Linked DNA regions of Ovis aries. The protein of the gene in region 2 purifies or fractionates together with the protein of the main gene of each other region. This does not show direct contact. Links are inferred from orthologs where the notes say so. Each region holds a gene or a part of one and is shown on either strand. Other genes may lie near its edges.

Region 1 (5,757 bases), on a different chromosome or scaffold from region 2:
CGGCCGTCCAGACACTCCAGAGGGGACCACACACGCGCCAGGCTTGGTCAGCCCTGGGAGGGGATGAGCAGGAGGCGGGGAGGGCGGTGCCTCCGCCCAGGTGGGCACTCACATCAGCTCGTAGTTCCTGCGGATGGCTTCTGGGATGTTGGGCTTTGTTACCCGCACAGCCTGGAGAGAGAGACAGCACCTGATTGGGGCGTGGGGTGTGGAGCGACCAGCTCCCACGGGCCCTTGGTCTTCCTGCACAGACAGGACACCCTCTGAAGAGGGGCTGTGCCTTCCTGGGGGTGGGGGCGGGGCGGGGGTGTCCCACCAGGGTGGTGCTCACTTGGATGACGAGCCCGGGGGCCATGGAGGTCAGGTCTTGCTGCAGAGCCAGTTTGAGATTTTCATCAATCTGATCTGGAATCAAGACAGACAGAACACAGAGCTGAGATGTTTTCTAGGAGGGGTGGAGGGAAGCATGGGGTAGAGAGCAAGGCAAGACACCAGCTCAGGAATGCACCCAACGGGCCAAAGCTCTTCCCGAGGCACAGCGCTCCTCAGAGCTCGAACATCCAAAGACTCCCTGGAAGACTCTCACGGCGGACACCCACTGGGCCCGCTACGTGGCCAGAAGGGAGTGTCCCTTCCCTGGGGCCTCAAGAAAACATCAACCTCGCCCAGAAGGGAACTGAGCTTTAAAAGAACAAACAACAACTCCAGCACATTTCTTGAGTCAGGAAGCAGCCCTTCCCTACAGACAGCAGCAGAGAAGGTGGCCACCCATCTTTCACAAAGAAGGAAGGTGGAACGGCCACGTCAGGTATTTTGAAAGGAGTCAAACACACTAAATCTATTAATAAATTTCTAAAACAAAAACAGACTCTGACATCAAGAGAGGCCCCAAGGAAGACTAATTCCATCAGGTACTCCATCAATCAAGGGGAAAAGGACAATGTACAGTTCTGGAAAGGAGTCTGAGTTTTTTTTTAAACATTAAAACATTTTTTTTTTTTTTTGGCTGAGCCACTCAGCTTGTGGGATCTTAGTTCCCTGACCAGGGATTGAACCCACGCCCCCTGCCCTAAAAGCGCAGTCTTAACCACTGGACTGCCAGGGAAGTCCTGAGCCTGAGTCTTTTGATGTGTTGTTTGCCTTGGTTCTGATTCTTCTGTCTGTGAGTCATTTTATGGGTAAGTGTCAGAAGATCTGCAACTGATCGCCGCTCTAGCTGTGACCCCAGAACAGGCTGTCAGCGCTGGCCTGGGCCTTCCCTTCCCTGCCCCCACCCACAAGATCAATAAGCTTCTTGAAGGGCCCTGAGAAGAGGACACCCTGAAACCAGCCTGGGACACCTACATGGAACCACCTCCTTTATTGTCAGCGGCCAGCTGCTTTACGTGGCCATTCTTGGTCCAGGAGCCTTTGAGAAACAGCAAGTCTAACTCCCTGCCTGTTATAAATGCTCAAACTGAGGCCCACAGAGGTTTGGGGATATGCTTAAGCTAATCAAGAGTCAAGATAAAGAACTTGTTTAATTATTACGCTTTGATCGTTAGGGTTTAGAACAGTACTTTCTTCAATAGTCATATCACTAAGCAAGGGGTATTAATGTTTCTACATATGCATATGCTCCCACCAGCCTCTCAGCACTGAGGCAGACCATAAGGGCAGCACCTCACACCTGACATGGGTGTAACAATTTGATGGCTAGAGATGAACATGACATTCCATATTTTCTATTTTAAATAAGAGACTGGCCAAACTTTAAGGGAAACAGCTCATATCCTCCATAAGCTAATAACATGGTTGTTTCTCAGATTAAATTCTATCTGAGTCAAGGAAGATACCCATGGCCCTGGGCTAGTAACTTTCCAGGAAAATCTAGAGGAAATATTTTACAAGATACCTTACTAACAAATTTACATCAGGACCAAGTTGTTTATGTGTGATGGTTATGCTGACAACGCTGATTAAGTTAAGAACTGATTAAGTGAAGTGAAGAACTGACTCATTGGAAAAGACCCTGATGCTGGGAAAGATTGAAGGTGGGAGGAGAAGGGGACGACAGAGGATGAGATGGTTGGATGGTATCACCGACTCGATGGTCATGACTGTGAGTAAACTCCGGGAGTTGGTGATGGACGGGGAAGCCCTGGTGTGCTGCAGTCCACAGGGTCACAAAGAGCTGGACACAACTGAGTGACTGAACTGAACTAAGTAAACACAAAGTACTGGATAACACTTTCATCAAACGGGAAACATGGATGCCTCGGTGTAAGCGGTGATAAAAACTGCATCAAGCTGAAAGTTAGGCCTATGAGTACTGGGAGGAGGGGGCCAGAGAAAACCCTTCCATTATCAGGACCCAGGATTAGAGACTCGAGTTTCTCCTTTGCAGATGCAAATGGATGCTAAGCAAAACAGTGCTAGCTGGCAAGAAGGAACTTTAAAAAGGAAAATATTCCAACGCAAACATAAATCCCAAGCTCCTCCGTACACAAAGCTTTACTTTACTGCACTGCCAAGTTCATCTGCAAGACAAGACAGTGAGTTTTCCAATGCAGAACAATTTCACATCTTAATTCTCTCTGCATAGAAATTAGAGATCTTTCGCTGTTGCAAACGCTTTGTAATGTTCATTTACTGGCACTAGTTCTAAAACGATGGCTAGAGAGAAAACTAAGGATATTTTATGAAATTCTATCGGGTTGAGGTCAAAAAAATAGCAAAGTTACTGAATTTTTCTCAATAGCACACCAAATCCAAACATGGGAAGAGACTTCAAAGTCCATAAAGTGAATTTAGACCCATTTTATTCTGCAGAAAAGTTAAAATGGCTTCTGATGACTTTCCAAATTTGTAACAGAGGGCCAAAGGCTGTTTGCCTAGTTAAGATCACTGGTGTCGCCAACGACTCCACCTCTGTCTATGGGATATTCTCACTCCAGGCCCTTTAAATTAAGAATCCTGGGGAAAACCACTGTCTGGTCCTGGCATTAAGAACAGTGGTACCACTGGTTGCAAAGTTCATTTGCTTTTAGCCCTGGCTTCTAGAACACTCCTAGCAGTGAATTTAACAGAACACTTTATCCCAAATGAGCTATAACAATTACTGAAATGCCTCTTTTCATTGTTGCTGAAGTCAGGCTATGTTTTCTTTGATCAGGAAAAAAGGAAAGAAAGTGTCAACTTAAGACCAAAGTGGGTCCTTTCTGTTTTAAGTGTTTTCCTATTCTTCTCTATGGGTACAGGGTAAAAAACCATCACTAACAACAACCGAAAGCCACACAGGTTCTAGGGACTCTTAAGTAGTTACAGTCCTTGTCCCACTTCTAGAATTAAATGTGACCCGTTGGGACTTCCCTGGAGGCCCAGCGGTTGAGACTGCATGCTTCCAGTGTGGGGGGTGTGCATTCGATCCCTGGTTGGGGAACTAAGATCCCACATGCCTTGTGGTGCGGCCAAAATAAAAACACACTGAAGCAAACAACAAAATGTAACCCCGTGGTTCTCATCACCCTGTCCTGGCGCCCTTCATCCAGGGTGAGGTGGATGCAGCCAGAAGCCAGAGGAGGGGGGTCTGGACTTCACCTCTGCTCCCAGCCAGCCCTGGGACTTTCTCCCTCGGGACCTTGGTATCCTTATCTTGAAAGGAGGATGCTGGGCTGGGTAATCTCTAAGGTTCTTCTGGAACTGACCCCTCTTCATTATAGAAGGAAGTTCAGGGACATGGGAACATATTTCCATCCCAGGTCTGACGCAGGGCAGGAGCGAGTCCTATCGCTCACTATGACTCCCGTGTCCAACACTCAGCCACTCTCACCATCTTCTTCCATCGGCACCTGTGTTTCCTGGCAGTGCCCCGTGTGACTGCCTGCTTCCCGGGCACTGGATCTTCAACACTCCGGTCCCTTGACACCCACCCTGCCCTGTGGGCAGCTGAATCAGGCAGCAGGTGATCATCCGAAGAGATTTTCTTACCGAAGAGCTCAATGTAGACCTCCTGAAGCGTGTGGACACTGCAGAACTGGTTCAGCTCGTGGTGGATCTTGTTGAAGATGAGTGCCTTGTCGTAGTCGGCTGTGTAGTTCTTCACTATGTCATACACTGCGGGGAAGGAGACGTTCAGAGTGAGGAGGGCAGGACCTGCCACGCTCAGACACACGGGCTGTCCCTTCCCGAGATGCTATGACAGACATGGGGGTTGGGTGGGGGGAGACTCGGGGATGATGCCAGGGAGAGTGGGCTTCGGGGGAGGGGGTGAGGTGTGCTAGGGGAGGTACCTGCGTGTGGGACCAGGAAGTTCACCACCTCGATTCTGTCGAAGTAGATCATCACACCACCGCTGTTGGAGGAAGCGCAGACAGCGTGGTCAGTGCTGAGCTTGGGAACATTGGGCCTCTCCCGGGGTGGTGGTGCTATGTATGTGTGCGCGTGCGTGGGACTTGGCAGGAAAGGAGGAGGGTTCATGGGGGTCACAGGTGTGTGGATCTCAAGGCAGGAGACCTTCTGAGTTTCTATCATAATCTCCTGAGAAATCATACTTCCTAAAAACATCTCCACGAGGACAAAAGTGAAACTTTTGAGATACAAGAAGTGTAGTTTGTATGTTTTAACTCTGCAATGACTTTTGAATAAAGCTACCAATCGCAGGGGAAAGACTAAGCAAGGTCACGGGGTTCTCAGAACTTTAAAACGTGGAATGTTTGGGTCAGTGTTTCTCACGGTTTTCACCATCACTTTAGTTCAGCCCTCTCCCTACTTTGCCCTCAATATTCATTAGGAAACACTTTGAAACATACAGAAAAGAACAGTACAACTAACACTCATATACCAACACCTGACTTTAACAATCATGAACATTTTATTACCTATTGATTTATCTACTTTTTCTTTTTTTTTTGCTGAACATTTCAAAGCAAGCTGTAGTCAGGATACTTTACCCACCAACACCTGGCAAGCACCAATCACCTAAGAATGATGACAGTCCCCTACAGAGTCACAATACCATTCCTAAAGCTAGAGAAATTAGCGATAATTCCTCTTCATCTAACGAGCCCTTCTCTAATTTTTCCCACAAGTTCCCATCATGGACTGAATTGTGTGCGCCCCAAAATCCACATGCTGAAACTGGAGCCCCCAAAGTGAGTGCATTTGGAGACAGGGCCTTTACAAAGGTGATTAAGGTTGAATGAGGTTGTAACGATAGGGCCCTAAACTGACCAGACTGGTAAAGCAAAGAAGACAAAGGCAGCAGAGATCTCTCTTTCTCCACACATGCACAGCCAAAAGGCCATGTGAGGACACAGGAAAACAGCCACCTGCAGGCCAGGAACCAACTTGCTGGCACCCTGATCTTGAACTTTGAGCTTCTGCAACCGTGAGAAAAATAAATGTCTATCGTTTCAGCCACCCAGGCGATGGTATTCCACTATGGCAGTCCAAGATGACTAACAGTTTCCGTAACATCTTTTAGAGCTGTTCTGTTGGAACCGGGCTCTAATCAAGGTTCACCACTGCACTGCTTATGTCTTTATGTCTCCTTTTCGACCCAAGTTCTCCAAATACAAAGCCTTTGTGATGAGATCAGGCCAGCTATCCTGTGGGAAGTTCCGATTCTGTATCTGTCCGAGTGCGTGGTTTACTTTGTTGCTCTGTCCCTGTTCTGACCACCTTGACTTTTCAATCAGACCACTGCAGCAGTTCTTTCAATTCCCTGCCCTGCAGTCTTCTCCTACTACCTTTCCAACATTCTCCATATTTAGTGCT
Region 2 (6,226 bases):
CACACATCTAGCAAGCAATTCAATAGCTATCTCCTTGCCCCTCACTCTAGAGATTTTTCCTATATTTTTCGGTTGTTTATCTAGGCTTATGTCCTATCATTTACAAGTTTACTCTTTTTCTTAAGTTGCCCCAAACATTTCTGGAGCTAACATTTTTCTCTCTTCTTTGGAATATTCATCTTATCAACATTCAAACCTAGCAAATTACTTTCAGTTCTCAAGTTGTATAATTATGTGAAGATGGGCTCTTTAAGGCAAGAGTCAGAAACTTTTTCTCTAATGGGCTATTAGACAGTAAATATTTTAGGCTTTGTAGGCCACATGCTCTCAGTCACATAGTCTTCCTTTAAAAAAAAAATTTTTTTTTAATGTAAAAGCCAATATTAGCTAATAGGCCAAATGGGCCAACAAGGTTTGCTAATCTCTGCTCTCAGTGATCAGTTCTCTTTTATCCATTTTCATTTTCGGTGACTTTTTCCTTTGACATTTCTATTTCAACATTCTATTTGCATCTAATTAAGTCATCAGAACCTTAAAATTTGTTCCATATTTCTGTTTCTCTATTTTACCACTTCCTGCTCTTACCATTTTAAAAGCAAAAATAAAAGTGGAAGAAAAAAAAAAACAGAACGGAACAGGAAAAAAAAACAAAAACAAAAAAAAGGAGAAAATAATGAAACTAATGAGTAAGATTAGCAAAGTTGAAAAGCCAGAAACACCTGAACAATTCAAAACAATGATGGAAAAGGATCAGGAGACACTTTAATGGAAGGGACATCTGAACAATGTAAAATTAGCCTAGAAATAAATAACAAAATAAAACCTAATCTGGAATGAAAGTTTGGAATGGAAGTTCTAGAAAGACATAAAGAAAAAAACAATCAAGACAAATCTGGGTATTTGTTAAGAGTAACACACTGAGAACCTCCCCTCAAACCTGTTCTCAATATCCATGCCAGAGGGCCACCAGGAGAGCTCTCCTCGGAGCTGGAGTCTTTAATCCATCTTCCCCACTGCTGCCACAGGTGCCCCCTGAAAAAATCCTCTCATCATGACAGCGCCTTCTCCCCTCTACTCCCACTGAAACCCTTCTGCCCATGAAATAACGTTCACACTCCTTAACAGAGCAGGCAAGGTTTACATAACCTGACCTTCACCCCCTACCCCATCCTCTCCCTGATCAGCCCATCCTCTCCCTGATCAGTTTCTCAACCATTAACGAGAGGAAAATCACTAGGACATTAATTAGAAAGAAGACATATTCCTAGCTATTTTCATCTAAACTGTGCCCTATGAAAATAAGTTTTAGAGAGCAATATGCAAAATAATAGCTAGCAGGGTTTTACAAACTGGCAGAAAGATTTTTTTGTCTTGCTTGTTTTTTAAAAACTGAATGAGTGTCCTTGGGCAGAGCAAAAAAAAACAAAAACAAAAAACAGGATCCATTTTAACAAAGACTCCACCATGTATTCACTTAATTATGCTATCTGGCAGGTCTCAGAGGAAGGCTTTGGAGATTGCAACTCCTATTCCGCTACTAGAGCAGAAACTTAAGTAATGGGTGATGAGGAAAACTGATAATGCACACATGGAAGGTCTGAAGTGAAGTGAAGCCGCTCAGTCGTGTCCGACTCTTCGCGACCCCATGGACTGCAGCCCACCAGGCTCCTCCGTCCATGGGATTTTCCAGGCAAGAGTACTGGAGTGGGGTGCCACTGTCTTCTCCGAGGAACCAAGGAAAACCAAGATAAAAGTGTGAAAACCACAGAGGAAAAGATGGAAGAACAGCAGCAAGACCAACTGAGAAAAGAAAAAAAAATCATCCACGGAGAGGAAGAAATCATAAACTCACTGGAGGCAAGATCTCTGTTGAAAAAGCTGGGAAGAAAAGGAAATTTTCTTAAAAATCATAATTTTCACAGAAAATCAACAGGCTTTAATGTTTTATGTTTATGTAATGTTTTATGAAGAGGTGCTAACCTTGGAACTGGAATGAGTTTTGTACAAAGAGACTGGGGGGGTAATCATTAAACAATACTGCTGCTGCTGCTGCTAAGTTGCTTCAGTTGTGTCCGACTCTGTGCAACCCCACAGACGGCCTCCCACCAGGCTCCCCGGTCCCCACTCCCCCAATATTGGAGTGGGTTGCCATTTCCTTCTCCAATGCATGAAAGTGAAAAGTGAAAGTGAAGTCGCTCAGTTGTGCCGGACTCTTAGCGACCCCATGGACTGCAGCCCACCAGGCTCCTCTGTCCATGGGATTTTCCAGGCAAGAGTACTGGAGTGGGTTGCCATTGCCTTCTCCGATTAAGCAATACTAGTAGCAGCAGCAGCAGCAGCAGTTGTTAAACACTATAGCAGTTCCATCTCAAAGGCTTACTTGTATCTTATACTTAAATATATATATATATCAAAGACTATATTATAATCTCAACATTTGACAAAAGCACTCTTCACATTACTTTATCTAATTAAAATGCAAAAAACAGATTTTTAAAAATCTAGGTTTAACATACATTAAACAAGAGACATGGGTTGAGTTCTTTCTCTTCTCCCTTCTTCCCTACTCTAAGGTTCAGCTTTACACAGCAGTGGAAGAAGGGAACCTCACCCTTCCCTTCCTTCTACTAATCTCTTCATCAGAAGGACCAAGAGACTTAATCTACACCCACAGAGTTCATAAATCCCACTGCTTCCTGATGAAGCACAGTGGGATTAATTACAACAAATGAGCTGTGTATCATTCCGTATACTTGGAATATTAACCCCAGTCATTTACAGCCGACTCTCAACCGAAATGGGAACTTACAGGAGGAGACAAGACTCAAGACACCACAGCAAACCCTAGGGACAGACTTCAGTCCCAGAACAACTTTTCCTGATCACTGTGGGATTTCTATGTGGCATTCAAAGGCCAAGTTGGAAACCAAGTTCCTTAGCCAAAATACTGTTGATCTGCCTGCCTGAAATTATCTGTTCTAATAAGTGAAACTAGCATTTATGCCTCCTAAACGCTGCTTATCTTACACTGGCAGACAAACTGGAGACCTTGTTTTAACATGGATCACTAGCAGGAGAAACCCTGAGTTAAAATGAAGAGACATCTCCCGACTCCAAATGTTTTGGCTGCCTTCAGACATCAAAGGAAACTTTCATGAATCACCAGGTAAAAATCAGCAGGAAAGGAAGCACAGTCTTGTATTTGTTGTAGGTCCACTCAAAGAGGACAATAATAAAGAAAGAAAGAAAAAAAAACGCTGTGGGAGACGGTCCCTCTCCAAACAACGTCCAAACACACTCAGATGCCCAAAATTCTCCTATGCTCAACAACTGAAATTCTGTCTCTTTTCTCTTTACACGTGAAACGCGATAACATCTCCCTGCCTGACCGCGTCCGAAAAGCCTTCCCAACTCCGGGGTAACTGACTGCCCTTTGAGGTCTTCCAGTTACTTCCTGGTGGCCCCCCAGCAACCCCAACTCGGCCCCCCATATTTTACTTCTCCCCGGATTCCCAACCCTCCCCCACCTCCTCCCCCCGCCCGTCCCTGGCCGGCCGCCGCGTTCCCTTGCGCCCCGCCCCCTGCGCCTCCCCAACCGCGTCCCAAAGTCCCTTCCTCAGGCCCTCAAAGACCACCCGCCCCCGGGGACCCGCTGCCCCTCACGACCCCACCGCCACACCCCAACCCTCACCGGGTCCCACGGAGGCCGTACGCGGGCGGGCCCCCCCCACCGCCGCCTCACACTCCGGGGTCCGGGGGGGAGGGGACCCCGGCCCCAGCCACGCCCCCCACAGATAATGGGTGACATGGCGGCCCCCACCCCTCGCCCCGCTGCGCTCCTCCTCGGCGGGCCCGGCATCCTCGCTCACCCACACGAACAGGCTGTCCGAGAGCAGGTACTGGGCCACGTCGCGGGCCCGGGGTCCCCCGGCGCTCGGCCGGACGAGCGCGGCCGGGTCTGGCTGCACCGGGGCCGTTACCGGCTCCGCCTCTGTGGGCCCGGGCCCGGGCCCGGCCTCGGGCTGACTGAGAGCGCGGTAGGCGCTGACGATGGTGCCGACCAAGGCCAGGCCGCTGAGGCCCGTGTAGGTGCGGAGGCTGGGCCAGGGGAAGCGCTCGAGGAAGAGCAGCGGCATGGCGGCAGCGGCGGCTTCCAGCCCCCAGGTCTCCCCGCGCTGCGGCCGGGTCCCGGCGGCCTCGCGAACGGCGCCCACGAGCTCTGGCGTCGCCGCCGCCGCCACCGCGCCGGGCCGGGCCGGGCCGCTCCTGGCCGCTCCGCCCCGCGCCGCTCCCGCTGCTGCCCCTGCCGGCGCGGAAGAGCCTCGGCTGGCTCGGGGCTGGCCGCCGCCCCCAGCAGGGTGCGGGCGGGACGGGCGCGGGGGCGCGGCCTCGGTCCCCCGCCCCCAGCGGTCGCGCTGCCGCCTAGTTGGCGGAGGCCCCGGCCGCAGGCCCTGCGGCCCAGCACCCAGCATTATCTTCCGCCGACACTCTAGCTCGGCCTGGCCCGCGGACGCTTAGGGCACCCGCCCCAGGCCGGGCCCAAGCGTCACTCAGGCCCGACGGCGCTGACGGGCGGTCGAGCGCTGGCCGCGTGGGCCCACCCGCGGGACGCGGGGACCCGGGCCACCGGGCGTCCGGCCACTTGTCCTTAGTTTCCTTAACCTCCCCGTAAGCAAGTTACCCCAGAGCCTCCCTGTGGGCCTGGGAGCTTCCCAAGTGGCTGAAAGAGGAGACAGTGCTCAGGGAATAATAGAAGCCCTGGCCCCATGGAAAGACAATAAATCAACACTCTCAAATTCCTCGCAAATAAAGTTTCTGCTGTTTACTAGTAACACCCGGCGAAGTCTAAAGTGAACCTGATTTCAGTTCAGTTCAGTCGCTCAGTCGTGTCCGACTCTTTGCGACCCCTTGAACCGCAGCACGGCAGGCCTCCCTGTCCATCACCAACTCCCGGAGTCCACCCAAACCCAAGTCCATTGTGTCGGTGATGCCATCTAACCATCTCATCCTCTGTCGTCCTCTTCTCCTCCTGCCCTCAATCTTTCCCAGCATCAGGGCCTTCTCAAATGAGTCAGCTCTTCATATCAGGTGGCCAAAGTATTGGAGTTTCAGCTTCAACATCAGGAAATAAAAATGTGTTCCCTCATACCCCAGGTAGGAATGTAACATAGTGAGGATATTTTGGAAAGTGATGTCAGCTCTTCAAAAAGTTTAAACCTAAGAGTGACCATTTGACCTAGCAATTCCATTCCTAGGTGGTATACCCAAGAGAAATGAAAACACACTGCCACACAAAATGTCCACACAAATGTCAATAACAACGTTATTCTTAACAGTCAGAGTTAGAAACAACCCTAATGTCACTCAAGGGACGAATAGATAAATAAGGGATTACCCCCTAAAATGGAATAGTAGTCAGCCATGAAAATGAAGTAGGAAAACATGCTACAAGGACAACGCTTGAAAATGTGCTAAGTATAAGCACAGACACAAATGGGCACATAGTGCAAGTCCATGTATATGAAATGTCCAGCATAGGCAGAAGCATAAAGTAGGTTAATGACTGATGAGCAATAGGGAGATGAGGAAACAGGTATAAAAGCTAAACATGGATTTCTTTTTGAGGTGATGAAAATGTTCTAAAATTTTAGTGACTGTAGCAGAACTCTGAATATACTAAAAATCTTTATTTGTATAGTTATATGGTGAATTATGTAAATTATAGCCCAATAAGGCTGTAACAACAAAAAAGACAGAAAAAAAAAAAAAAAAAAGAACTACAGAACAAAAGTGCTACCTTGGGGGGTAGCACTTATTCCTTGTTGTATCTCTAAGGCCTTGACAAGTGCCTGATGTAGAGTAGGTGTTCAGCAAATATTTGTCGAGTCTTACAAACTTTCAAAGGCAAAAGACTAAATTATGTTCAAAGTCTCATGCCCAGTATTCTAATACTAAAAATTTATTAGTTAGAAAACAAAAGATGGTTCAGCTCAAGGTTATTACTATCCAATTTGCAATATTTAGAAACATCCTATTAAAGGCCTTGTGATGAACACAACAGTTTGGCTTTTACCAGGGAGGGAGGATGAGCGCCTACACACACACACACTTTTTCATATGAGATCTGTATGATTACACTTTCGGTGCCCTTTGATTCTCTATCTGCAGCCATTTGATTAAAATGCTAAACTTACAATTGTATTGGTAAATTAAAATTTCACTTTGA

The links. Proteins that work in one complex are often made in the same cells at the same time.
Region 1: the proteins of AMFR (region 2) and ERLIN2 purify together in Homo sapiens (affinity purification with western blotting; 4 studies listed by BioGRID and IntAct, with this or other methods). This does not show direct contact. The link is inferred for Ovis aries from reciprocal best matches to the Homo sapiens genes AMFR and ERLIN2.

Annotation. Positions count from the first base shown.
Region 1 is NC_056079.1:32,111,991-32,117,747, reverse strand, and holds part of ERLIN2 (erlin-2), read right to left. Parts: intron 4,334-5,757; coding exon 4,272-4,333; intron 4,096-4,271; coding exon 3,970-4,095; intron 406-3,969; coding exon 332-405; intron 172-331; coding exon 113-171; intron 1-112. UniProt on the Homo sapiens protein: Component of the ERLIN1/ERLIN2 complex which mediates the endoplasmic reticulum-associated degradation (ERAD) of inositol 1,4,5-trisphosphate receptors (IP3Rs) such as ITPR1.
Region 2 is NC_056067.1:23,705,254-23,711,479, reverse strand, and holds the start of AMFR (E3 ubiquitin-protein ligase AMFR), read right to left. Parts: upstream 4,329-6,226; 5' UTR 4,137-4,328; coding exon 3,870-4,136; intron 1-3,869. UniProt on the Homo sapiens protein: E3 ubiquitin-protein ligase that mediates the polyubiquitination of lysine and cysteine residues on target proteins, such as CD3D, CYP3A4, CFTR, INSIG1, SOAT2/ACAT2 and APOB for proteasomal degradation.